Drosophila melanogaster: one gene and its partner. The protein of the gene in region 2 interacts with the protein of the main gene of each other region in a biochemical or structural test. Each region holds a gene or a part of one and is shown on either strand. Other genes may lie near its edges.

The links.
Region 1: the proteins of dpr11 (region 2) and DIP-beta form a complex in vitro, tested with the Drosophila melanogaster proteins (one study listed by BioGRID).

What each region holds. Positions count from the first base shown.
Region 1 is NC_004354.4:21,452,742-21,465,422, forward strand, and holds the start of DIP-beta (Dpr-interacting protein beta), read right to left. Parts: upstream 4,998-12,681; 5' UTR 4,810-4,997; exon of another isoform or gene 4,725-4,809; intron 1-4,724.
Region 2 is NT_033777.3:6,588,237-6,600,917, reverse strand, and holds the start of dpr11 (defective proboscis extension response 11), read left to right. Parts: upstream 1-7,587; 5' UTR 7,588-8,034; intron 8,035-12,681. Other genes in the region: CG1138 (uncharacterized protein), read left to right, coding at 2,982-3,854.

The DNA of each region.
Region 1 (12,681 bases), on a different chromosome or scaffold from region 2:
TTATTATTATTGTCATTATCATTTAGTAGACTTATTTTGAAACCAATTTAGATCAAAAGTTTTGGTTTGTGGCATAAGGAGGAACATACTTGATTTTATGCTTTCAAGTCATAATTAACCCGTAGGTACAGCCTTAGTAACAATTGAGCTACGCCTTATTTAAATTTAATATTCGATTAAAAAATCCATCAAAAATGCTGTTTTATAGTTTTCACACTAGGACTAAGAGTAATATTTTACGAATATGAATTGAACAGATATTTATTTTTAAAAATCAGTACCTATGGGAGCGTTTTTCAGACATATTTTCTCGATACAGACGATATTCCGTACTGTAATCTTCAATTTAGGCATGTTATTATTTATACATACTTATTTATAAATGCCAATTGAGCATTTTGCAGAATGCATTTAAAGACAAAATTTCTATTTATTTCGAAAAAGTTCTATAGTTTGCCTATAAACGATTTACTCGAGTGCTCATCTTTACTTTTATAATGGCCAATTACTTTTGTAAATTTCAATAATATTTTTGTTTTTCGCGTGCAGACCAGATATACTTCTCATTATTTTATTCTATTGTACGTGCGCAGTTGATCTTTTCAATTTTCCTGCAACAGCTATAGTTTTTTTTTTGTATTTCCCAGAATGCATTTGCCCCCTTCTTGGCTTCTCCACCAACTCCCTTTGCTATTTACCTGTTGTCTTGCTGGCTAATTTCTGTTGTCAAATTGCCCTCGCTTTTCTATGCATTCTGTTCCTGCTCAACTACATTACGCATTCGCAGCGTGGTCTGTTGGGGAAAAGCTTTTGCCATTGCCATTTCTCGGTTTTGTTGCAGTGGCATTATTATTTTATTTTTTTTTTCACTTAAAGCAACTGAAACCGTCGCGCTCCGGCATTTCCTCTCAATTGTTTGTGCAATTTTCTTTTAATGTATGGAAAATATTTCTTTTATTATGTTGCTGCTGCCGCCGTTGTTTGCCTTTTGTTAATGTGCAAGTGCTGGTTGGTTGTGGTTTGCTTTGTTGGCCATCCAAACCTCGTCCTTAACCATTTGCTGCCCTAGCGCCAACTCTCACATGTGTAACCATTCGCCACTGATGCGTTTTTAATTGTGTTTGTTTCCGCTTCTCTGTGACACGTCATTTATTAGCACACAAAAACGGAAATCAAGCTGCTTTAAGAACTTTTTTCCTTCACTCCACCAAACATACATATATCTTCAGTGGGGTCTCGATCAATCTTGGGGTTAAATATGTATCGCAGCCTGATTTATTCGCTGACATTTTGCATTATATGCAGGAGCCATTCTCTGCTGCGTTTGCCTTCGCCGGAAAACAAAAACAAAAACAGAAAAAAAAAAATGAAACAAGCGAATGGGGTTATTTCCAACAGGATTCGGGGCGAATTGGGCAGCGGAACCGGGTCTGGACCAGAAAATAATGCTTGCGAAATTTCGTTTAATTTTCGGTTCGCGGTGGCCATTGTCGTCCTTTGTTCGACAATGTCTTTTGTTGCCGATTTTCCCCATAATAATTATTGTTCGAAATTTCATTTTGAATCAAAAAGAGGGGGTTCTGAAACCAAAATTTTGGGAAATATGATTCCATAATTTAATGTAGATTTGATTTGAACGCCTGCCAACTAATTGCAGGTAACATGAACAGTCACTTTTCCCAAAATTCATGTTCCCTTCTGTTGCACTTTGATGCCCGCATCATCAGTCAGCACTCGGATGGCTCGGACATATCCTATTTCCAAATAGCGCCGATTAAATGCCCTAGGCAGCCCGTCGTCAGTCAGTTTGCTCCTTTCGACATGGAAATCGGAGCTTCGCAATTCCGGACACAATGCAGAGTGCATCCGACTTGGAGTGTCGCAGTAAATTTTACTCGAATTTATTGTTATCACTGGGCTTCGATTGTTTGGTTACATAACCTACCTACTTATCTATTCATATGTACATAACTTGTTTCGCTTAGACCCAATAAGCCGACATTTAAATATCCTTTTAAAGTCTCAAAAGGTTCGTCAGAATCGGAGACAAAGTAGCTTGAAAAGTAAATGTATTATGAGGGCAAACTACAGTTTCAATTAGAACTCATTTTTAATTATACCCCTAAGGGCTAGGTAAATGGAGGATGTGGCATACATTATTTTGACGGTAACATTGTAATGAGTGGATGCAAACAATTTTTGGCATGTGAATGGATAGTGATAATGAAATATTCCCCTCCACCTTCAACAAGATTTAAAGCCTGAATCTGAAAAGCAGACAGGTTCTAGGCTTATGGGCGCCAAGCAAAAATGTCTTTGGCGTTCTGTAGGGGCTTGCAAGATAATTAGAAAAATAATATTTTAAAACCTTTTTTAAATTTATAATTAAGTACTCAGGTTCTTTTAAGTGACTACGTTTACTCTAAGTAACTGAGTTTATATGTGGAAGTGTTTCAAATTCATTTCTGATAATTAAATTTGGAGATCATCATATATTTCGGTTCCAATGTGAGCCAGTTCAGGGTCAGTTCAGACCAATACAAATAGTTCCATAGGCGCAGAACTCGCACACAATTCCTCTGTGCTCAGTACAAAGATCGAGAAATATTTCCAATCTCCCAGACGCAGCACAAAACCAAAGATCCCTTTTCTATTATGAATTCGGATGGATTCCATTCGGATTTTATAAGATATTAGTTGATTAACCACTAGACACGGCGGACAAGGAGTCGCGAAGCTTCTTGCCTTGGTTCCGGTTAACCAGATGGAATCGAGATGAGTCTCAGTCAAATTTCAAATTAATGCTAACTGAAGTGCATGACTTTTTTTGTGTTGACCGAGATGCCAAAATTTGGCAATGGCTTTGGGAAGTTTCGGGGAATTTCTCGACAGGCAAACAAAAAAAATTAGGTATTTCGGAAGTATGCATTGTATACATTTTGCAAAAAGGGTTCCCAAATATAATGACAAAATGTTGCACATAAATTTTGATTATTCGAGACCAATAATAAAATTAATTACGTTCCCAAAGTAAAGTTTCCCAAAAAAAAACCATTAATAAAGATTTTGGAAAATTGCGTTTACAATTTTCTCTGTGCACTTTGAAGCTTGAGATTTCCTGTGCCCAAAAAGGTCCAAATTTACATTTGCCGCATAAAGCCCTTTCATTTGCCTCTTTGCTCTTTTTGTGTGCCACTGCATACATTTTACACACTTCATTATTTAATATAAAATGCATCCTCACACGCACACCTGCGCACAAGGGAAGACAATTGCTGGGCAAGGCGATGCGAATGAGTAAAAACGTTATTTAATTAATTAATTTTCATTAAAAACACGACAAAATGCGACGGCTGGTGGGTGGGGAGCGGATGGTTGCGAACAGGGTCGCAGAGGGGCGCAGAGGGGCGTGGCTGGACGGCGCAGGACATTAAAGGACGAGCAGATGCCTGCTCCTTCCTTGTCCTGTCACGCTGGCTGTCATTTACAATTTTAATCTCGCTGTGCAGCAGTTTAGCTTAAGTTCGGACGTCGGGATAATGAGCGGCCAGGTCCGCGCTTAAGGATAATGGAGCCTGCAGCTGGACAGTACTCCCTGTCCCACTCCATCTGTAATTAAAAAATCGCGCATGCAGCCAGCACTCCCTTCACCTGGTCGAATAAGGGCCAACGACCAAGTTGGCTCACAAATTTCATGGCTAATAAATCACTTTTAATATTAATAAAACATAAATCATTGCCAACTAAAAACTTGGCCTGCTAGTTGGATGCTGCAGTCTCATTTTGGCGCCTTTTGTTCGATGGCAAAAAGTTTCGGAGGAGTCTTCCAGAAAAGGTACCTCAAGAATGTGCCAAACTGGTGGCGGATGGCGAGGGATGAGCGAGAGATTGAATGGGGTTTTAAAGTTCAGGTGGGTGAAAGTTCTTGAAGGAAATCAGAAACACAAAAAGGGTTCAAAGCAATACATGGATACCGGATTTAAAATAAAATTGAATTCGGATCGTCTTACAAACCACTAAAAAAGATATTGAAAACCTTACTTAATTTTTGCAATGTGTAATGTATGCTATCATATTATATAAAATATATAATTACAAACAATTAAAAACGAAAAGAACACAAGCTGACAGTTTTATAATTATGTTAAACAATTTATCAAATCGTTAGTATGCGACAAAATGTACGATATGATTTTGACCATAAAAGGTGACTACATTTTCCCCACACGAAGGTATAAAGATAGTTGTTTTTGGGAAAAAAAACTGGCAAAAGTTAATTTGCAACTTGGCAAATCAACTGTTTTATTTACTGAAAACAAGAAACGAGAATAAAGGATTCCAACGAGTGACGAGTGACTCACATAAATGCAAACAAAGAAAGTTAATGTTAGAAAACGGAAAGGACATAGAAATTCAATGAACTGAAAAGGAATTCACTCATGAACAGTCGAGAGAATTCGCAAGAAAACAACTCGATTGGTGTAACAATTGGTTGAAAGGCTGAGAAAAGAAAGGGAATGCTAACATACCACCGATAATGCAATTGACAAATGAGTGAACAAGCGTATGTGAAATGATTTAGGCAGCGATCGACGGGCAATGGAGTAAAGGACTAAACGAGGGATTGGCTTCACCTCACTAGTGTAGTAATTTCTAAATACGCAGTCACAGCTCACATCGTATGCTTCGCGAAAAACTTTTGAATTTTTGGGTCTTAGAATTACCTTGTTCGAAAAAACAAGCAAAGCTTCGAAACTAGTCCAAAGCACTGGCCAACACTAAAAAAAAACTTGAAAATAATCAACTAACACTTGTCAAAAACTCTTCTCTCGACTTTCAGCTAGAGTAATTGTATCATTGTATCGTTGTTGTTTCGCGCCACTCGAAACCCGTTTTCGAAACTTTGGAATTTTTAGTTTGAAACTGAGTCCTTTCGTGTCTCGAATCCACTGGACTGAACTGAACCGACGCGCTAGGAAGTTGCCCGAGCACTGAACCTGTCGCACCAAGCGCGTTTCGCATTGGGCCGACCCAGCGCAATGTGCTCGTCCTTCGGCAGCACGGCCATCCCGATTTCCCAATTTCCCGACTTCCGATGTCCTGGCACTGTGGAGTCCCGTGTCCCGTGCCTGCCATCCCGAGGCCAGCCGAAATGCTTCCGAAGGACGAGCTCGTGTGGCGGACGAAGGCGTCAGTGCTTGTCCTCTGGCAACATGTTGCCAGCAACATTTAGAAGCTGGTAAATTTACTAGAGCAATTGCCTTAACTTAAAACGCAGAGATCTGCATAAGTGGTTAGTTTTGCCCAGTTGATTATTATTGGTTGAAAAACATTCTAAAAGAAAAGAAAAACGAGTTAAAGTTATACAGAAACCAATTGCTGAAATATAAAAGGCTGTATGTTTTACCAAGAGCTAGTTTTTCGGTTGTTCGCTTTCATCATTTTTCAAATGGGATATAACATTGTTAGCTGTTTTGGAATACATATAGAATTTATATCAGCCGACTTTTGACGATATTTTAAGCCTTACCTTGTGCAAAAAATTAGGAAAAGTCAAAGAAAGACGAAAGCATATTGAAAATAAATCGAACGTTAGAAAATATATCTTTATTTTGCTTGATCACTTTTTAAAACATATTAATTAAATTTCCAAAAAAAGATTTTAATGAATGCGACTATCGGATATTTATTAATCACCTAAGGACTGTGCAAGGGAGATGGAAAGGTGGAAGCAAGCAGAAGTCTCAATAGACTTAACTTTTACTTAATTTACTTTACATAGGTTGCAATAGTTCGATTAAGGCAGTTTTTGTTGTTGAAAAAATAGGAACATTTTAGCTAGACATTAACGACAACTGTAACTATAACGTTTGAAGATAACTTGTAAGACTAGTCACTAGTTTTTATACACTTCCTTCTGCTTCTGTTACATACATACTTGTCAACGACTCCAGATTGCATTGTTTCTTAGCTAGGTTAGGTAACAAAACTTGTTTTGAGCACATCATCTTATTTTATTTATTTATTTAACAAAATTAAATATAGTATACAATACTAAACCTAATTAAATTTAATGAGTACTAGCTACGGGGGCCTTCGACTCGAGACTTATGGGTTAATTGCTTTATATAATAAACTTAGCTTTTTGGACAAATTTGTAAATTTTTGAGATATTTTCACAGGATGGGATACTTAAACAATTCGAGAGACTATGTGTACCAAATAAGTGAGATCTAATTGAGTGCAATTGACTGCAGGCGTTGAGAATATGGTCAACGGTGAGCTCGTCCCCGCATAGTTGGCATGTTGGTCGCGCCGATCTCGTCAGTAAGTGTTGATGTGTGGATTGGGTGTGCCCGATGCGTAGACGGATAAAGGTCGCGCATTCCCGTTTATGTACGTTCGTTGGTGGCTTGAACATGATGCAATTCGGATTGATAGACTGGTACCTGTGCATGAAGAGTGCCCATTCGGAGAGTTTCCTTTCTTTGAGGTATAACTTGATTCGACTTTTTAGGTCCTTGGAGTTAAACGGAGTGAACAGGATTGATGGTGTAAGCCTCATCTCTTGGGCGGCTTTGTCAGCAAGTTCATTCCCATGAATACCTTGATGACTGGGAACCCAGAGTAAGGTGATTTTTTTTGGGTGAGAACTTAGAATGTGCCTAACTTCTTGTGTTGTGGGGTCATTATGGTTCCAGTTGCGTATAGCGGAAAGAGAGGAGAGGCTGTCTGTGCAGATAACAGATTTTCCAGCGTTTTTGGAAGCGAATTGGCATGCTTTGAGAATGGCGAAAGCTTCGGCTGTAAATATGGAGTTGTAGGACGGAAGCCTACCTCCTGCAATTATTTTACGGTTAGAGTCAACGACCGCAAAAGTAGTTGCGCCGGTGACTTTAGAACCATCGGTGTAGATCCAGTTTTTCACACCAAGATCTTCTTGTGCGCTCATAAAACGTTTTTGGTATTCTAGGCGACCTGTATCCTTTTTGGCAGCATTGTATATTTGAAGGTTTATGTTAGGCTGTTTGGAACCCCAAAGTGCTGGCGATTTGAAGGGCCTCCTGGGCTTAGGCAGGGGAAGGTCAAGTAGCTTGATGTAGTTGGCGCAACGTCTTAGGGTGGATATGCACTTGAATTTCCGTTTTTGTTTAAATATGGCTCCGAAGTCTTTGGTTAGCAGGCAGTTTGACGTGGTGTACAGCTTCGGGATAAGCATCAATGTAGTTTCTTCTACGCGTGATTGGATACTCGGGAGACCCGATTCTGCCAATGTGCACGCTACTGGAGATGTGGGAAATGCGTGAATGGCGCGACGGACCGCTCCGTGATATGGGACTTGTAGCTTTTTTAAGTGTGATTTAGCACACCAACCGAAGATTGGCAGTCCGTAGTCAATTTTAGATAGCATTAAAGCGCGCGTAATATCTATGAGAGTCTTAATATGTATGTAAGAATATTTAGATGATAGAAATTTAATAATGTTAAATCTAGTTTCCAGTTGTTTTCTTAGAGTCTGACAGTGCTGTTTAAAAAGTAGTTTGGAGTCGAAGGTTATCCCCAAGATTTTTAAAAAATTTACATCTTTTATTGTGCGGCTGTTAAAGACAATGTCGGAAAGGTTGCAACGTTGTTTCCGACAGATATGTAAAGTTTGGCATTTTTCAATGGCAAGAGAGGCCCCAGAGGTTGCTCCCCACGAGTTAATTTCTTGCAATATTTCTAAGAATTTTTCTCTAACTGTGTTAATATTTTTTATTTTAGTAAAGATTATTGCGTCGTCTGCGTATAGTGAGATGTAAATATCTTTATGCCGAGTTACAATGTCATTTATGTCTTCAATAGCTATCATAAATAAAACCACCGAAAGTGGCGAACCCTGCGGGATTCCATTGTGTAAAATGTGGGAGTTCGATGTGACATTGTTTATTCGAACCCTGAAGGACCGATTGGTCATGAAGGCTTTAATAAGGTTATAAAGCCTAGGACCAATGCCCCAGCGCTCGAGTCTGCAAAGTACGGCGTGAATCCCCACGCGATCGAAGGCTCTTTCAAAATCCGTCGCCAAGATAGAGACGTGATTTTTGGTCGAAAGAGCGTTCGACGCGAAGTGTTGGATACGCAATAACGCGTCCATCGTGCTATGATTACTTTTAAAGGCAACTTGATTATGGGAAATTAGGTTGTGGCGTTTAATGAACCAGGTAAGTCTTTGTGCTATTATTTTTTCTAGTGTTTTTCCCAGACAGGATAACAGAGAGATTGGACGGTAGCTGTTAATATCGGAAGGGGGTTTGTTAGGTTTTGATATAGGGATAATGATAGCCGATCTCCATGTATGTGGGTATTTTCCAGTGGTTAATATTTGATTAAAAATGTCTAAAAGTTTTGTTTTTAGGTGGGGAGATAGGTTTTTGAGCATAGGGTATGATACTCTGTCAGCCCCAGGGCTTTTCCCTTTTGCTTTTGCTACTGAATTTTCTATTTCGAGCAATGTGAAATTGGAATCTAAGGATGTAGCCGATGGGGAAAGTGAGTCGATGGCATAGGGCTCTGAAAGATACCGATTTTTTACTCGTATATATTCTGCTGAAAAATTTTGGTCAGAAGAGTATTTAGACCAAGATAAGGCAAACTCTTCGGCGATATCAAATGATCCAGTTAGGGTACCCGAGTTGGATTTGATATATTTGAACGGAGTGGGAGGGATGCCGGCTAGGCGTTTTATATCTGACCAGACCTTTTTTGTGGAGGATACTGGGGAGATTTTGGAAGTAAATTTTTCAAGGGAGTTACGCTTGGCCGAAAGTACAGCTTTTTTGAAAAGCGCGTTTGCTTTTTTGTATCGGATAAGGTTTGTATCATTCGTATTGGCTTTGTAGGACGAGAACAAGCGTTGCTTTTGGTCCCTAAGCTGTTGAAGGATAGCGTTCCACCATGGCACCTTGGCTTTGTGGATCACCCTTTTCGTTTGGGGAATGCTATAGTTTGCAGCTGAACGTATGACTTTCGTCATTTGTGCGACTTGCTGATTTAGGCAACCGACCGTCCAATATGCTGCTGATTTTTCGCAACTTTCGTTAAAGCGTTTCCAGTTCGCTTGGTCTGTCTTGTATTTAGGCAGGGGTAAAGTGTTATCGGGACGGGTAGGTGTGTTTATGTGGATGGTTATGGGAAAGTGGTCACTTCCATGGAGATTATCTGATATAGACCAGCTGCACATATGGGCTATCTGTGGAGATATCAGTGAGATATCAATGTGGGTGAACGTATTGTGAGTTGAAAGGTGAGTCGGGGAACCGTCGTTAAGAACAATTAGGCTGTTTTCAAGAATTACGGTTTCAATTTTTTTACCCCTTGTATTTGTGCGAGGTGAACCCCATAAAGGACTCCATGAGTTAAGATCACCCAGGAGTATTGTGGATCCGTTAAGATTTTGAAGAATTTCTGATATGTCAGAAGATGAAAAAATTTGACTTGGTGGGATGTACGCATTAACAATATTAATGACCTGTTCAAAATTAAGCTGCAGTGCGGAGCAGAGTATGCTGGAGTTAATGTTACGGTATGTATGTGGGACATTCCTTTTAATAAGAACACCAATGCCTTGTTTGGCTGAGGTGTTATAAGAAAAATTGTGGAAGTAACCACTATATTCTTTGGGGCAAATAAAATTTGTAGAATTACATGGAAGGTTGGTTTCCTGCAAAAATACAATATCGGGTGCATGGTCTTTTATGAGTAGTGTCAGTTCGTTGTAATTATTAAAAATGCCGTGGATGTTCCATTGTAATATAGTAATTGTCATGATTAAAAATTTTTTTTTTTTTATTTATTGTTTTTTGTTGGACTGTTATTAATTTGTGGTGTGTGTATATGAAGGTAAGGGTGAGAGGATCAGGACTAGGAATCGGGATCGTCCATAGTGTCTGAGTCTGTTGTGTTGATTTTTGTTTGTAGATTTGAGGTTTGTGAAGCAATTGATTCGTTTGAGTTGGATCTTGAGGTCATTAACGTATTGTTGTCGTCGTTGTAGGTTTGTCCTAATAGAGCGTTTGCTTCCGCCCTAAGGGAGCGAGATCGTTCGATGCATGTTTTTTTTAGGTAAGAGAAATCAGTTTTGTCAGAGGTGCTTGGGGAGGAAGTAAGATTCTCTTCGAGATTCAAAGAGTTCGTCCGAGAAGTGGGATACGTTGGTGAGAGCGGAGCTGGTACTTTTGTCGAGCTGGTGGGCAAGTCGGTGTTTGTAATCGTGTTAGGGTTTCGGGGTTTTTTGACAAGCATCACGGATGATGTGCTTTGGTTTGCGACGGTCGAGTAGGTAAGCGTGGGGTTATTTGTTGTGTTTTGTTGTTGTTTTAGTATAGTGCGAGCTTCATGGAAACTGCATTTTTTGCTTGTTTTGATGTGGAGCAGTTGTTTTTGTGTTTGGTATTGTGGGCATTCGGGTGAGGAGGCTGGATGTTGGCCGGTGCAGTTTGCACAGAAAATGCGAGTGCATGGCACGGGAAGGTGGGGAGCGAGATTGCATGATACACAGGCAGGTGGGTTTTTGCAGTGCTTTGATGTGTGTCCTAATAATTGACAAGACTTACATCTCATCGGGTTGGGTATATATTCTGACACCTTAACTGTGTGCCAGGAAACCGTTAGTTTACTGGGAAGAGTGAAACGGTCGAACGTTACGAGAACTTTTCCAAAAGGTTTGGGGGTGCCGTCGATCATTTTGGTAAATTTAAATACGCTGTGTACATTTTGTGATTTTAGTTCCTCAACAATTTCGTTTTCTGGAATGTTAATAAGACAGGGAGCGTAAATGGTGCCTTTGACAAAGTTAAGAGTGTTGTGGAGCTTGCACTCGATATCGCATAAGCCAGGTAAGGAAGTCACTTTGATAAATTTGTCACTAATTTCCCTGGAGTTAACCAGCAAGAGAAGGTTACCATCCCGAAGATTAGAGATGGATGTAATGTCTTTGCTGATATACTTAAGGGCTCTATGGACAGCAAAGCAGTTGTAGTCGGATATGGTTTTCGGAGAGTTTTTTGATGAGACCACTAAATATCTCGGATTTTTGCACTGCGTTTCAGGGAGGTCTGGGAAATCAACTTGTAATTTTTGAAAGGGTCTTTTTTTCTTAGCTTTGGGGCTAACGCTGAGACTGGCAAAGCGATTATCCCCCAAATTGAGTGGCCCGGGGGCCATGGTTAATAAATTTATGGATATTGAATGTTTTTGATTTGCACGTACGCGTTGATAAGAAGATCAAGAAGATAAGATGATAAATATCAATGTAACGGCGATGGTAATTACGCGATAAGCAAAGCTCACACAATTGGAAAGACACAGACGTCCGCACTCGAAGAGAGATAGTCGGTGACTGCACATCATCTTAAAAATCAGGACTTCAATTGCAAGTAAGTAAAGCAAGACCAGACGGATAGCTGTGGCGATCATTTGAAAGTACTTCCAAATTTTCCTTGGAACATCTGATATGTTCCTTATATTCTGGATTCCTCCTACTCAAAATATAATTACGACTGCACGCGGCAAAGGAGCGTTAAATAACTTAAATAACTGCGGCTTTTGCAATCAAAGTCACTTGGTTGGCGCTCTCCTTCCTTCTGGGAAATTCACTCACAGGTGCTTAAAGAAGGACTTCTTACCAAGCCTTTCCTCTGTCCCCATTCTCCGATCCGGGCCATCCCATCCCATCACATCACTTAGGCAAATCAAGGAGACCAATAAAGGCAAAAAGGCGGCAACACTTAGTCAGCCAGCTCGCGATGAGAGCGAGAGTCTTTGCCTATCATAAGTCGTCCTTCCATGTGTGGAAACTGTGGGCATGGGTGTATGGATAGGTGGTAGGGATGGGATGGGATGGGATGGGAATAGGTGAGCTAGGTAAAAGCACTTTTGCGCTTGTTTTAATGAAATTCAATGCGTCGACGGCGGCGACGTCGTCAAACCTTTCACCAAATGAACACGAAAATTTTCATCAATGTCTGGGACAAAATGGGCGAAATGGGGGTCTACGTATAGCCGAAAGTAACCAAAGAAACCCACTTTCATGCTTCATAAGTAAATTCATTTGGCACGCCAGCCAGGGTCCTAAAGCGACCCCCCACCCGGGGCTTAATGAAATGTCTTCAACTTTGAGGTGTTTATTGCGCTGACAAACCGGGGAAGAATTACATTAGCGGTGGGTGCGTGAGTGGATTTTAATTTTCAATAAGAAGACTTCAAAATCACTCTATTTGCGCTGCAAGCCCGACTTGGGCTCAGTACTCAAGCTGAGCAAATTGCTTCCGAAACAAAACAGAGACGGGACCCTGCGAAAAAATATATTTCTGGAGAAAGAGAAAGAGAGTTGGTTAGCATGAATGCTGACTTCTCAGAGAAGTCACGCACTCATCTCCGAAAAATGTAAATACATGTACATCACAGAGCTTTGCGGGTCGGGGAAAACCCTTTGAGCAGGACTGAGGTAAACCGAGCCCAAAGTAATCTTTGAGTCTCACTGTCAGCCTACGACGGCGGGTGCACAGGTGTGTGTGCTAAGCAGGAAAAACATTTTCATGTATCTTAAATTGTCTAACACTTAAAAAGTGATTACGTCTGCGTGTTCCACCCCCGTTTCTCTGCTCCTTACCGACGGAGAGACCCTTCTTTGCTGGGAGC
Region 2 (12,681 bases):
TATAGTTCTAGTGACTCTTACTGATAGGGGTTTTTCCATATCAAAAAAGTCTAGTTGCCTCAAAACTGATGCTTCCGCGGCAATTTGCTTGTTGTGTTGACAGCTGGCCTGAGGTTTCATGCTTTTTGCATTAGGGTACTGACAGATGACTTCACAGAGACACTGAAAACCAGAACGAGGAAAAGCACAATATTTTTTCGGACATTTTTTAATATATTTTGTATGGCGTATGTTTTAAAACTTATATGCAGTTTTATTTTTGTACACCACTTTTGTTTGGGAAATGCGAATAGAAATTTCTCTGTATCAAACGGGCGAACAGACTTATTGGGGGTGCAGTGTGCAATTATTTTGAGCGAGTAACCGCCACCAGGCCAAAGGATAATGCGATGAGTTCTGATCGCCAGCAACAACGGACCAGCTCCAATGGAGCCACGCCCCAGCCAGATATTAAATTTTCGCTGTTGCTCCATGGAGCTGTGGCAATAAAGGTTTGGCTTTGCCAACCATGTGCGAGGGCACTTTGAGGAGGGACGAGCTCTGGCTCCCACACATGTGGCTGATGCCTTGGGCCATCATCGTTGACAACAATATCAGTGGCTTTCGAAACAGCGGCAGCCGCAGGAGCAAAAAAGCAGCTGGAACACGGACTAGTGGAACTTACTTTGTCCTCTGCGTGGCTTTGGTTTCTGGTTTTTGGCTGTAAAATGTCAATTTGGGCCCGTGACGAAGATTTATTGTGCGCGTGTTTGATAGGCGCGCTTAAATATCCCATTCAGCACACATATTTCCACTATCAATTTCGATGGCACCAGCATGAGCATAATCTGGTTCGTCACTGGTGATGGCACCTCTGCTGTTTTCAAAACTTAGGAATGGAAATGATCAGCGTGAAATCTAGGTTTTGTACGCAACACAAAATCATTCACAAAAATAAGGTTTTTGGTACTATGGGTATTACAGATGATTTCACTGCACTGCAATTTATGCAATTTAAAAATTAAATTTATTCAGGGCTTAACAAATAAGAATACTAGTTTTGTATACATTTAGACCTAAATCCAACAACAATTTCAGTACATTCCGCAGGATATATACGATTGCTGCTTATGAATGCAGAACAGTCGCTAAAAAGCCAACGAGTTGACTCGCTGCCAAGAGCAGCATTTAAATGAAAATGGCAAATTCATGCCACATAATGGTTAAACGACATCAGAAGAGCAACACGCAAAGCGTTTATTTTTTCTGAAATTCCAGGCACGCAAGGACAAGCAGCACACACTCAAAATTGTAAGGGAAAACTTGCAATTTATCCATCCGAGTTGCCTCCTGTCACCGGCACCAAGTTGTCCCACTCCTGCCTGGCCGATAACTCAATAGCGTAGCCCGGGGAGCATTGGCATAACTAAACTAATTTCTTTTAATTCAAACACAGCAACTCCGGCCCAACGGCTCTGTTGGACACTGATGGCCAAATGGCTGGGTGTGAAACTTTTATGTCGCCCCCTGCATGGACCTCCGCCCAGGTGGTCTTACCCACCTCCGGGCTCCTGCTTCCCATTGCCCAGTGCCCATTGCCCAATCCATTTCTCCCTGGCGGCAGCCCTGACCGACATTCGATGAATTGACCAACGCAGCTTGTTATTTTTCGTGTGCAACAGCGCGTTTTATTCGCTCCTGGAGGTTATGTGCCCCTCACCCCGTGGCATCTAGATTCAAATCAGAGATGGCACTTACCTATCCTAAGAAATCTTAAAAAAAAAGGTGAGCCAGCTTATTGTAAGCTACCGATTACCATCATTTACAATCAAATTATGAAACTGTCAATGATTTACCCTAATAAACATAAACAATTTTTATTAAGCCATTTAACTAATGGCTAGATTCGCGGAGTTTCATGGGTGATGTAGACATCCAAAACATGTAACATAAATTGGATTTGTCCTGTCTTTCCTGTATATTTATTGGTATTATTCAAGTTTGGTTTTCCTAGTAATAATCTTACAAACACAGGTTCTCTTTGGCATCACTAAGTGGTGGTGGCTTCCAAAGCCGAGTACAGTTCGCCTTTCTTTTATTTCTGGTCAAAACTTTTGCACTGTTTTCACCAGATTCCGCATTCGGGTAGTTGGACAGCTGACGTCTGTTTTTCACCTGCCAGGACCGCCCCACTCGGGCTCAGAATCGGATCCTCTATTTGTTTGCGTATGGGAATCGCCGGTGTCTGTCCATCTGTCTGTGTCAGTGTTTGTGTGCTCGTGAGTTTTGCGAGCAGGTGTGCGTGAGCTTTCGCTGACAATTGTGATTTTAGCAAAGGGTTTTAATTAGATTTCACTTCATTTTCCGCTGTCATTCAGTGAAAAGGAAAGCTTCTGCCTTCCGCAAAATCTATTCAATAATGTGAGCTTACCCATTGAGTGCACACTGCATCCAAACTCTTCTTACATTTTTGGAGTTCAGAGTGTCTAGAACCTGGCTTAAATAACAACATAAGTATGTATTTTCCTTATAATTGTATTTATATATAAATAAGTTTATGTTTTTGCTATTTTATTTGGGACAGTATAGTATCCCAACTTTTTCCGTCTTCATTTTGGTATTTTAAATTCACATTAAGCAGGCTTTTTGTTAGGATTTGAAATTCCGTGAATGGGAGTTGAGCAAATTTTTCAGTGGATTTTCTTGCCGATAACATTTTTATATATTGCGTATATATCTGCGTTGAAGACTGCATTAGTTGTAGTTAAAACTACAAATTAAGGGACGCTTTGAAAAAGGATATAATAATTGCACGTACCCAACTAAAAGATCGAACAAACCCATAGATAGATCGATATATACGATATTTTATCTAAGCCTTCATTGAGATTTGTGTTAGATGATTTGAAAACACTGGAAGTGCTCGTTGTGTACCGAGTTAGTTTCCGTTTTGAAGTTCACAGTTAATTGGATATTGGTTAATTTGGAGGAATGAATTCAAGATGAATTCATTACCAATACTGCAATCAGTGGACCAAAATTTATCGTGCAAGGCAGCAGGAATAAGTAAAATGGAAAACACTAAACCAAATGATAAGAAACTGGCACAATCAAAGTTCGCATTCAAACATAACGGGCCAAAAAAAGTGTTTCACTGCACGATGCAGAGTGTTTTGCAATCCGAAGATTGCTGGATCGCTGAGGAAGTTCTAGAAGAATCAAACGAGAAAAGCAATCTGGAACTCGAAGATATTTACGATGAGGTGTTTCGCTTAAAGCGGCGCGTAAATCGACTCAATTACCAACTAGGTACCAATATACCGGAATGCCCAAAAATAGATCCCTGCCTGGATGATCATATATTTTTGACAAATGTAAAGGAAGTTCATCCCGAAATTCTTCAGCTGAAGTTTGCAAGCCATAAACTACAGCACCAACTGACTCAGATGCAATCCGTCCGAAGATCATCCAATCTGGCCAAAAAACTGGTACGGGATGAATACTGCAGAAGCAAGAAATTAGGGGATCAGTTGCAGATTGAAATTCAAAAACTAGACTCCTTTAAGCTCAAATTCGAAAAACATCAAGGACTATGTCTTCAACGGTTTAGGTTCTTGGACCAAGATAAGTATACTGGCAGGGAGTTCTATGAATTTATAGAAAAAAGTAATGAGATGATAACAACTCAACTTAAAAAGCAGATGTTAAAGAGTGAATACAAACCTTTTCGGAAGGAAGCCGCTAGGGTGACAATCTCTTTAAAAACAGCCGCGGAAAATTTGCAAGATTATCTTTCAAGCGTGATAAATAACAAAAAATGTGAAATCTTCCAGAACGTGAAAAATTCCTGTGTATCCATTCGTTCAGACCTTTAATACTTTTATATTTTTTCGAACTCCGATTCGGCTTACTTCAAGGCGGCACCACGAGCCGCCCAAGCTCTTGTATCACCGGCACACAGACCTACTTAGCTCGTCCACAATAAACCCACAAAGCCCTCTTTAAATTGTTCAATTTGTCAGGATCCACGGGCCGGCCCTCCATATGCGAATTCCTTGATTATGTTGGTCATCGGAGGAGTCGCATCCACGGGACGGCATCTGCCACAAATGGTGGTACCCTAATGTACATTTGACTAGGAAGAGCATGTATTTTCTTACATGCGATGTGTTTCGGCATCCTGTAGGCCAAAAAAGAAAAATAATATAAAAATGTTATAATTTCTATATGTATATACATATATGTATATATATTTTGTACGCAACTGATATATGTAAGAAATTGTATCTATTACGTTTTAAATATATTTACATTAAATATCATTTCTTTCAATACTTTTTTTGCATTCTTACTACTTATTAAGGGTGAACTGTCCTCTTTAATTTGGGTCCATTTTTAAAAGAGCATCCCAATTCTGACGCCCAGGGTCAGGATTTTCTTTTGTCGCTTTCGGTTTTGGTGTTTGTATCTTTGGGTCCAACAACGAAATGTATTTAGCATAAAAATTTACGATAATGAGGACCAGAACAGCAGAGACACAGCGAGCGAGCATCGCCACCATGAGAAAAAAAGCACAAGCAGACAGCGCATCAAATTTCGCATAGGCAAATAGACAAATAACTGTGGTTTACCTCCCCTGGGAGGGGGGGGGGGTTGGTTGTTTAGGTGCTACGGGGGGCGGTTTGGGTTTAGTGTTCCACCAACATTTGTGGCCAGTTTCCAACGAGATGTGGTGCCACAGGTTCTCCGCAGTCAAGTGTCATTGCTCCGCTAATGTGCAAAGTTAAATTAATATTTACCACGAGGCTGTTGTTGCGCCTTGATTTCTTCGGTGGCATTTCGAAAATTGACGAATTTCAGTGCGGTCTAACCAGCATCAAAGTCAACTGCGCTGCTTTTTGGCAGAATACGCTTGTTTTCCGTCAGATTAGCAAAGTTTTTGCAGTCATTTATTTAAACTTTTCGTTTGACGCGGCTGGTATCGTACATAAGTTGGATTCAAAGTGGGGCAGAACGCGAATTTGATAACGCGCTAATCGCATTTGGACTGCTGGCTGTACGGCAATCGGAACATAAACCTGACTTTTCCGTAAATACGGAATGCTGCAAGTGCATCCCTGACACTTGGCTGCTTTGTGCTCCAAATAAGTTTCCTTTTGCGGGAATTATGCTGCATACTTCACAGCGAGTGCCGGTGCAAAAATGAAAATAAATGCAAAGTTATCCCGAGCACTTCGGGCTGGCATTTACATTCTGCATTGGCATTGCTATTGCCATTGCCATTTTATTTCGTCAGTCGCATTGAAGTCCATGAATGGAAGGTGTGTGCCAACTAATGCGTGGCTGCCGGAGAGATGCCTTCGCATGCAGGGGCGCACCCAGGTCGTTTGAACAGGGGTGCTTAGGAACACCTTAGGACATCTTTTCTTTCAGTTCTTTGATTTTTGTATCTTAACCAACCGCATTTCTGTGCTCAGACTATAAGTTTGGCTAAATTATATTAATGCTTATTGATTTAGAGCTTAAATTAGCTTACCTATACCAATTTCGTATTTTTCGCATAGTTCTAGGCTAAGAGATGTTTATGCATAACGCTTTTTTCAATATGAATTTCACAATATACGTTTTTAACCTCGCTATAACCATGATATGCACCCCCGAAAGTACGGCTATCTACGCCCTTGCGTGTATGAGAAATCGCAGTGCAGATGGCTTACGCGACTGTCTCTTCCTCCCGTCTTTTGCGTCTATAAATTATTCATTCCGTTTGAGATGTTTGATGTGCCTCTAAGAAGCATGATGTCCTCACACAAACCCACTCACACATCGCCCATCGGTTTGTTGCAGTTTTTGCACTCTTCTTCCGTCTCTCTCGTTGCATAGTTCCTGTTCCCCAGCCTTTTTACCCAGATTTCATTGAATTCATTCATTTTTTAGCTGCCTTCGCCGCACATCCTGGCTTGTTATTGTTGGTGTTTGCCACAGCTTTGCATAAATAAGATAAACACAAGGATGAGCACAGTGGGCGGGCGGCAGGATCCCATGTTCCTCCCTTCCCTGGTCGGATATCCTGGGTTCTGGGAGTACTGAGTCCGCCACCGTCTCGAGTCGTTGCTGTGATTTATTTTGCACTCAATGTTTGCCAAAGTAAAATTGATTGAAGCGTTTGTTGGCGCTTCAATTGATTTTCAGTACAGTACGTATACGAATACGTATGTTGCAGCACCCCTCCCGATTCCCATTCCCTTTCTTCCCCCGATCAGTCCATTTTTGCACCTTATTCTCTGCTCGTGGCCAGCGAAGCATTTCAAGTGCCCGGGCACTTGAGTCCCGGCTTGTTTACAGTGGTTAAATTAACTTTGGTCAATTTGGTTTTTGTCGAGTGGTCGGACATTGCATTGAGACGGAGTCGCTTGGACCTTACATTCACCAATCTTATTCGTAACAATGCTTTGTAGGCATAAAGCCTTTACTTAATACGGGAATTCATTCGAGGTTTTTTGAAGGGTGTTCCAATCGGGGCTGTCTTTCCATTGAGATATACATATATATTTATAATATAAAAATATAAAATTATTTTATAACAATTAATTAACGATATTATTAAATAATATTGCTCCAGCAAATATTTGCTGGCCTGTGTTTGGTTAATAGTCGAATAATCGGTTGCCCCTCAAAAATGTCACAGGCAAGAATTGCAACCATTCATCAAATGTCGTCCTGTGATTTTATTAACCGACGCTGATGGTGATTGAGGCACATCGGAGCCATCAACACCTGCAGACGGCAGTCGATCATCAGGGGCCCATCCCCTATTCCTAGCCACTTAACACCCACCATTTCCGCATCCCACTAACCAATTCCCCAGCAATCACCACCAACTGCAGTCGCATAAATCTTGGGCTGTCAAGTGCAAACAGAAGGGGAGAAACCATCAAAGATGGAGCTAACAAATTACTGACAGCAAAACAAAAAAGAAACAATAAAAACAAAAGGAAAGCGCTAAATAAGACAGTGGAGATGTAAAAAAGGGGATATATAATGGCAATAATAATTATGCAGAATATACCAAATATGCGAAGTATAAAAATAAACACGCAACGCAAATGTATGCCACTCATTTTTATGAATGAGCATTTATCATAATTAAAAATTCTGCCGGCACCGGGAAAGGTTCTTCCATCACACCCATACCCTCACCCACTTCGGAGGCCGACGTTTCTGACCTAAGACACGCCAAGCGCCGCACACATATAGCCAGAAATCGAGAAGTATCGTGAGAGTGCGTCAGAGCAAGCCGACAACAAGGAGGACAGCTTTTTTGGGTCTTCTCCGGCAGCGGAACAGCTGTTGCTGTTTGTTTTTGGGACATATCCATGGGAAAAAGTAAGGCACTGGAAGAGCCAGTGGGCCAGTTGGCCGGTTGGTGAATACCCCACTGCGCATGTCCGCCGGCAGTCGCACCCAAAGGACTCTCTTCCAAAGAGAGTTCGAGTCTCTTAGACCGCCGTTTTCCGAGCTAGCTGGCTCGGCTTTTCCCGCGAGTTGGCCGAGCTTTTGCGGGGTTGTCGTGACTGCTGAAATTACCCGTCGCCACTTCGAATGCCGTTGTCGTGGGCTTCAGTTGTGCTTACCGCTCAGTGTGTACCGTTGCTGTCAGTGAGAGTGACCCAAAACTGTGACTGTGACTTAAGCCGTGACTCTAGTGCGTCGGTGGTGCGTCTCGGTGGCGTATGCTTGATGTGATGTGTGGTGCCCTGGCGTATGCTTGATTTGTAATACGCGACCCGGGCGACGTTCTCGCAGTGCATCCTCAAGGATACCAACAGAAGTAACAACAAAACCATCATTGAATTGTGCGTCTCATTTGAAGTTAATCCATAGATATTCTCACACGCACTCGCTGGTGTGTGGTGCGGTGGCTGTGAGGTAGTGAGGTTCGGCCTGTGTGTGTGTGTGTATAATGCGTATGTAATCCAGACAAATCTGTCACGTGTTTTGGATATCTTTTTCTGAGGCCGCCAGTCCGGGTATTTATTGAAAAATTGCACATAGGTGAGTCAACTCCAAATCCCCGCTGCATATGGAAAATAAAATAGTACCCTCTCACGCTGAAAACTAAAATAGTTAAGCAGCTTATGGGCCATGAGGACAGAGCTATGCGGATGATGGGCCAATAACCATAGCCCTTTCCAAATATGGATAAATAAACAAAGATTGGTTATTTAGGGGGGCTAACAACCTTTATCAGCAGATTATTTAATACAATTAGTCTCCTATTTATAAACAATATTATGAATTGGGCTTATAAATAAATTGAATTTAATAAAAATAGGATTTGGTTTGATTGGGTTTTATTCTTCTTAATTGACTACAGATTTTAAAAGCAAATTTACTTCTTTGAAAATAAGCATCATCTTCAAGTGACAGGTGTTTGTTTTTGAATTGTTTGTACAGAATTGTTTAGAATAGTTAATTGTTATTGCATGAATTACTGGGTTCTATTTTTAACTCCTTTTCTTTAAATTCAAAATTATAATAAAATTGTTGTCAGGCCTTTCAATAGTTAAGCACAAATGTTAGAGAATTAACAAATGTTTCGAAAGGCTTAGACCGTAAGGATCATTAAATAAAAGTGAAAGGATAACATTCACATTACATTACCCAAAGATTTATGATTATTTTTGCCTGTATTGAGACTTTGGCCATAAATTAAATAGCTAATGGTCACCCCAGTGGATTTCTTAGCCATTTAACCTTTATGCCCAAATTAAATGACAGAATTTGATTAGACCTATACACGCAACCGGCTTTGGGTGCCTTCTCATCCGGCTGAGTGTATAATAAATGAGAGGTCCTCGGGGCTGTGGTATCATCCCCAGGTGGAAAAGTTTGGCAACTCCCCCGCTCGCTCAATTGTTTATTTAACAGCAATGAAAAAATCATTACGCATTTCATATCCGAACTTCAAAAGGTGAAATTCCCATGAAAAATTATATAAATAAGTTGAAAAGTTTTTAATGCATATCAAATAAAAGAAACATGAGTAGGATGGCCGGAATGCGACTAAAAATCAAATGTTGATTTAAAATGCAAAGTAAAATGACAGCAAGGAGAACAAAGAGTGAGCAGGACTTGCTGTCCTGTACGCAATTTGTCCACGTATTATAATTTTCCCCATTTTTTGCATTCTCTTACACCGCTGCTGGTTGCCCTTGTCCTTGCCCTACTCTCGACCAAGTTAATGTCATTTGCATTCGCCCATATACCCACTTTCCACACGTACATATATTTTTCAACTTTTCACTGGCCATATTTTCTGGTTTGCCGCTCGCCGAGCTGGTCTCGCTTCAAGTTCATTGTGCATTAATAATTTAGTTGTCGTTTCGCCTCCAATGCGAATTCGAGTCGACACCCAGGAAAACTTGTTGGTCGCTTGCCTTTTGCCCTTTGCCCTTTTTGCCCGCTTGTAATTTGATTTTGTTTCCCTATTTTCGGTTGTACTCCGCTGGTCAGCAGCCTCGATGGGAATTGTGGCTCTCCCTATCAGGTCGGTATCATTTGCATGACTGCCTTTTAAATTCGGTCCACTCGTCCTCTGTCTGCGGGACTCGAAAATAGGTTGTCTGATTAAATAAACTTGGCCATCTGTTAATAAAGATTCTTTGTGAGTGGCCAAATAGGTATGAAAATGTGCTCGGAAAGTACATACAACAGGGTGAAAATTGGATCCAATTAAATTGCATGGAACCTATTATTAGATTCAATATCGTTACCTCGATAGTTTAGACTTCAATTCTCTGATTACAAGGGTTATTTAAGGGTTTCTCTTAATTCAAATTATCCTTGTTTTCTGAAAATACAACTTTTATATTATACAGTAATATTTATCTTATTTTACAATTATTTCTATGACACAAACATAATTTTAAATTTGTTATTGATATGTTTGGCAATATGTTTTTCTAAAATTCTCGCGCCAATTTTAGGCCAATCGGCTTTTTTTTCATTAGTTTCCTGTCTCTGAAATATGACAAATCTGAAATCCATTAAGGTTCCATGAACTTTTTAGCTACAACAGCTCATTTGCCGTGCACTTAAAAGGATAGAAAAAAGGGACTAGAAGTGGCAGACGCGACTTGTGAATTTGTTGCTATGAAAAATGATATTAAATCGCTTTTTTCATTATTTTTCCGGTAAAATCGCGTTCTCCATCTTGTCAGACAGTTGTCTCAGCCAGCCCAGTGAAATCCCAGTAGCTAGAGCAAGCCCAAAACCCAAACCCACAACCTCGAGGCTCGTCTGTCGACGTTCCATTTTCAGTGGCGCGTTGCGTTTTGTCCTTTTCAGGGATTTGGACTGGAACTGCAAGAGGCAGGACACAAAGAAAAGTTCACAGAGGAGCGGGGAAATTCTCGTGGAGGCAGATAGAGCAAGTTGAAAATTCAGAATAATGAGGAAACTAACGAGCCAAGACTTTCTCATTGTTTACTGGCGCAAAAATTGCGCGATTATTAATTTTCTATGCTATTTTGTAGCTCTTTTTGCGGCCCCGCTCTGCGCCACTTCATCCCCTCCGTTCACCCTGCCACTGGCACAGCAGAGTTTTCTATATTTTCCTCGTTTTTAATATTTCGCAATATTCGCCACGTTTTCTTCGCTCTTTTTTGGAGCGTGCAACTAATGGAAAAGGGCGAAGTGTTGGCCCAAAAGAGTTCAGTCAAGAGCCGAGCCAAGTTTTCCGCGGAGTTCATTGCTTTCGCCCACATGTTGTGTATACGCCACTTTAACTGACACATTTTCGCCTTGTTTTACCCCAACCGCCTTTTGAAGGTTTGTTTTTCTTCGCCGCTCGCCATGTTTGTTATTTTATTCAACGCTTCTGCTGGGAAAACGCTGCCCGCCTTGAATGCTAATGAAAAGGCTGGAATTAGAGTTCCCCTCTCTTGCCAAGTTTGCCAAAAAAGGGGAGGGAAGGTGGAGAGTAGTCCTTTGAGCTGTTTCCAGAAATATGAAAAGTTTCAGTAGAGTTGATAATTTCTTACTTCTTGGTAGTTTCTACTAACCTGTCCAACACTAGTTAACCTGCCAAATATACCAAAATTAAATACTGTTCTTTGCTTTCTTTGGCATTTGTTATTATAGTTGAATAATTGCCTCGTACAAAAACTTAAATAAAAGGGGACGCACTTTTTTATTATTTCTATTACAGTGTAAGCTAGAAAAGCAAATAAGAAAGCATTTTCGCTCGCTCTAACACAGATTTATTTATTTCTCTCCTTTTTAGGTAAGCATTTGCAGGTAAGCATTTGGTCGGAAAACGCAGTCGGGTTTCAAAAGGCTCATTGACATGTGGGTAAATAAATTTTTAATTTAAAATAAACAGTGTGTATTAAATTACGAGTGTCCCTAACGGAAGGGCGGCCTGATGAGCTCGACGGGCAATATCCGCTACGAAGGACACACACAAAATATGCAAACTGGCATCAAATCCAATTAGTTAATATGAATATTTGATGAAATCACTTCCGTTCCAAATGCTGCAAAAAAGGCCGACCATCCAGTGTCCCCAATGCCTTTCATCATCATCGCCATGACGATAATGATTCGAAAGTTTTTCACAGCGCCCGTGTTGGGTAACAACTTTTTCCGAATTTAAAACTTTAACGCATTCCCAAATGCAAGTCATCGAGTTGGGCGCTCGTTTCGCTTGAAATTATTCGTCTTTTTTGAGCTTTTGTGTTGTACCCACAATAACCACAATTTGCAACTTTTTGCGGCACTTTGTCAGTGCGAAAAACGTCAAAATGTTTGCGGGTCTGAAATTTATTTAAATATTTCATTTGTCACACATTTAGTACTGGCTAGGCTACTTGGCATATGTGACATTGATTAATATTCAAATTTAAGGGTTTCAATTAGCCGCGATACTTTAGTCTTTCGAGTTCAGCGTTTTTTTTTCATCGTATTTGATTTCACCAAATGAAATCCAAAAAAAAAACGTCTATTCCAAGGCTTGTGCCAAATTGAATTTTTAATTTTCCATCGGGGCTTTCCTTTGCTCCTTTTGTTTCGTTATATTGTGTTTCTTTTTCCCTATATTTTTTTGGCCATGTTTGGTTGTTTAACTTTTCGAAGCGGCTTCTTGTTGGCTTTTTGTTTGGGCCACACATGTATGCAGCCATTTTGGCATACAATTTTAACGAGGTGCGGTTGTTGCTTCCATATATCCTGCAAAACGGACTCGTGGCCTCTCTGCTTTGTTGCAAAAAATGTCACGCATTGTTTAATATTAATTTCATTTTCCGTACGCTCCAACACCGCGCAGCCGAATATTCGTTTTCAAGCTGTTGCCTTTGTTTTAATTTGCGGACCAGATCCCGGCCGGAATCCAAACAAATTTTATTTCAATATATGTGGGTTTTGGCGTAATTTATTTATTCGCATTTCTTGTTTGCAAGTCAAGAGCCCGGCTCGCCTCATTATGTTTTTTGAGAGCTTGTAAATTTAATTCAAATTACTCTTTCAATACCCATATTACGAAAAAGAGAATATTTTAAATTATTTAAATCATGTTTAGATTAGCCATGAATTCTGCTAGCCACATTTTGCTCTGATTGCGGAAAATATGCGTCATTTAATTTTTCACATTAATTACCCATCCTCATTTGTCCGTCGTCGCACTGAAATTCTCTCAGGCAT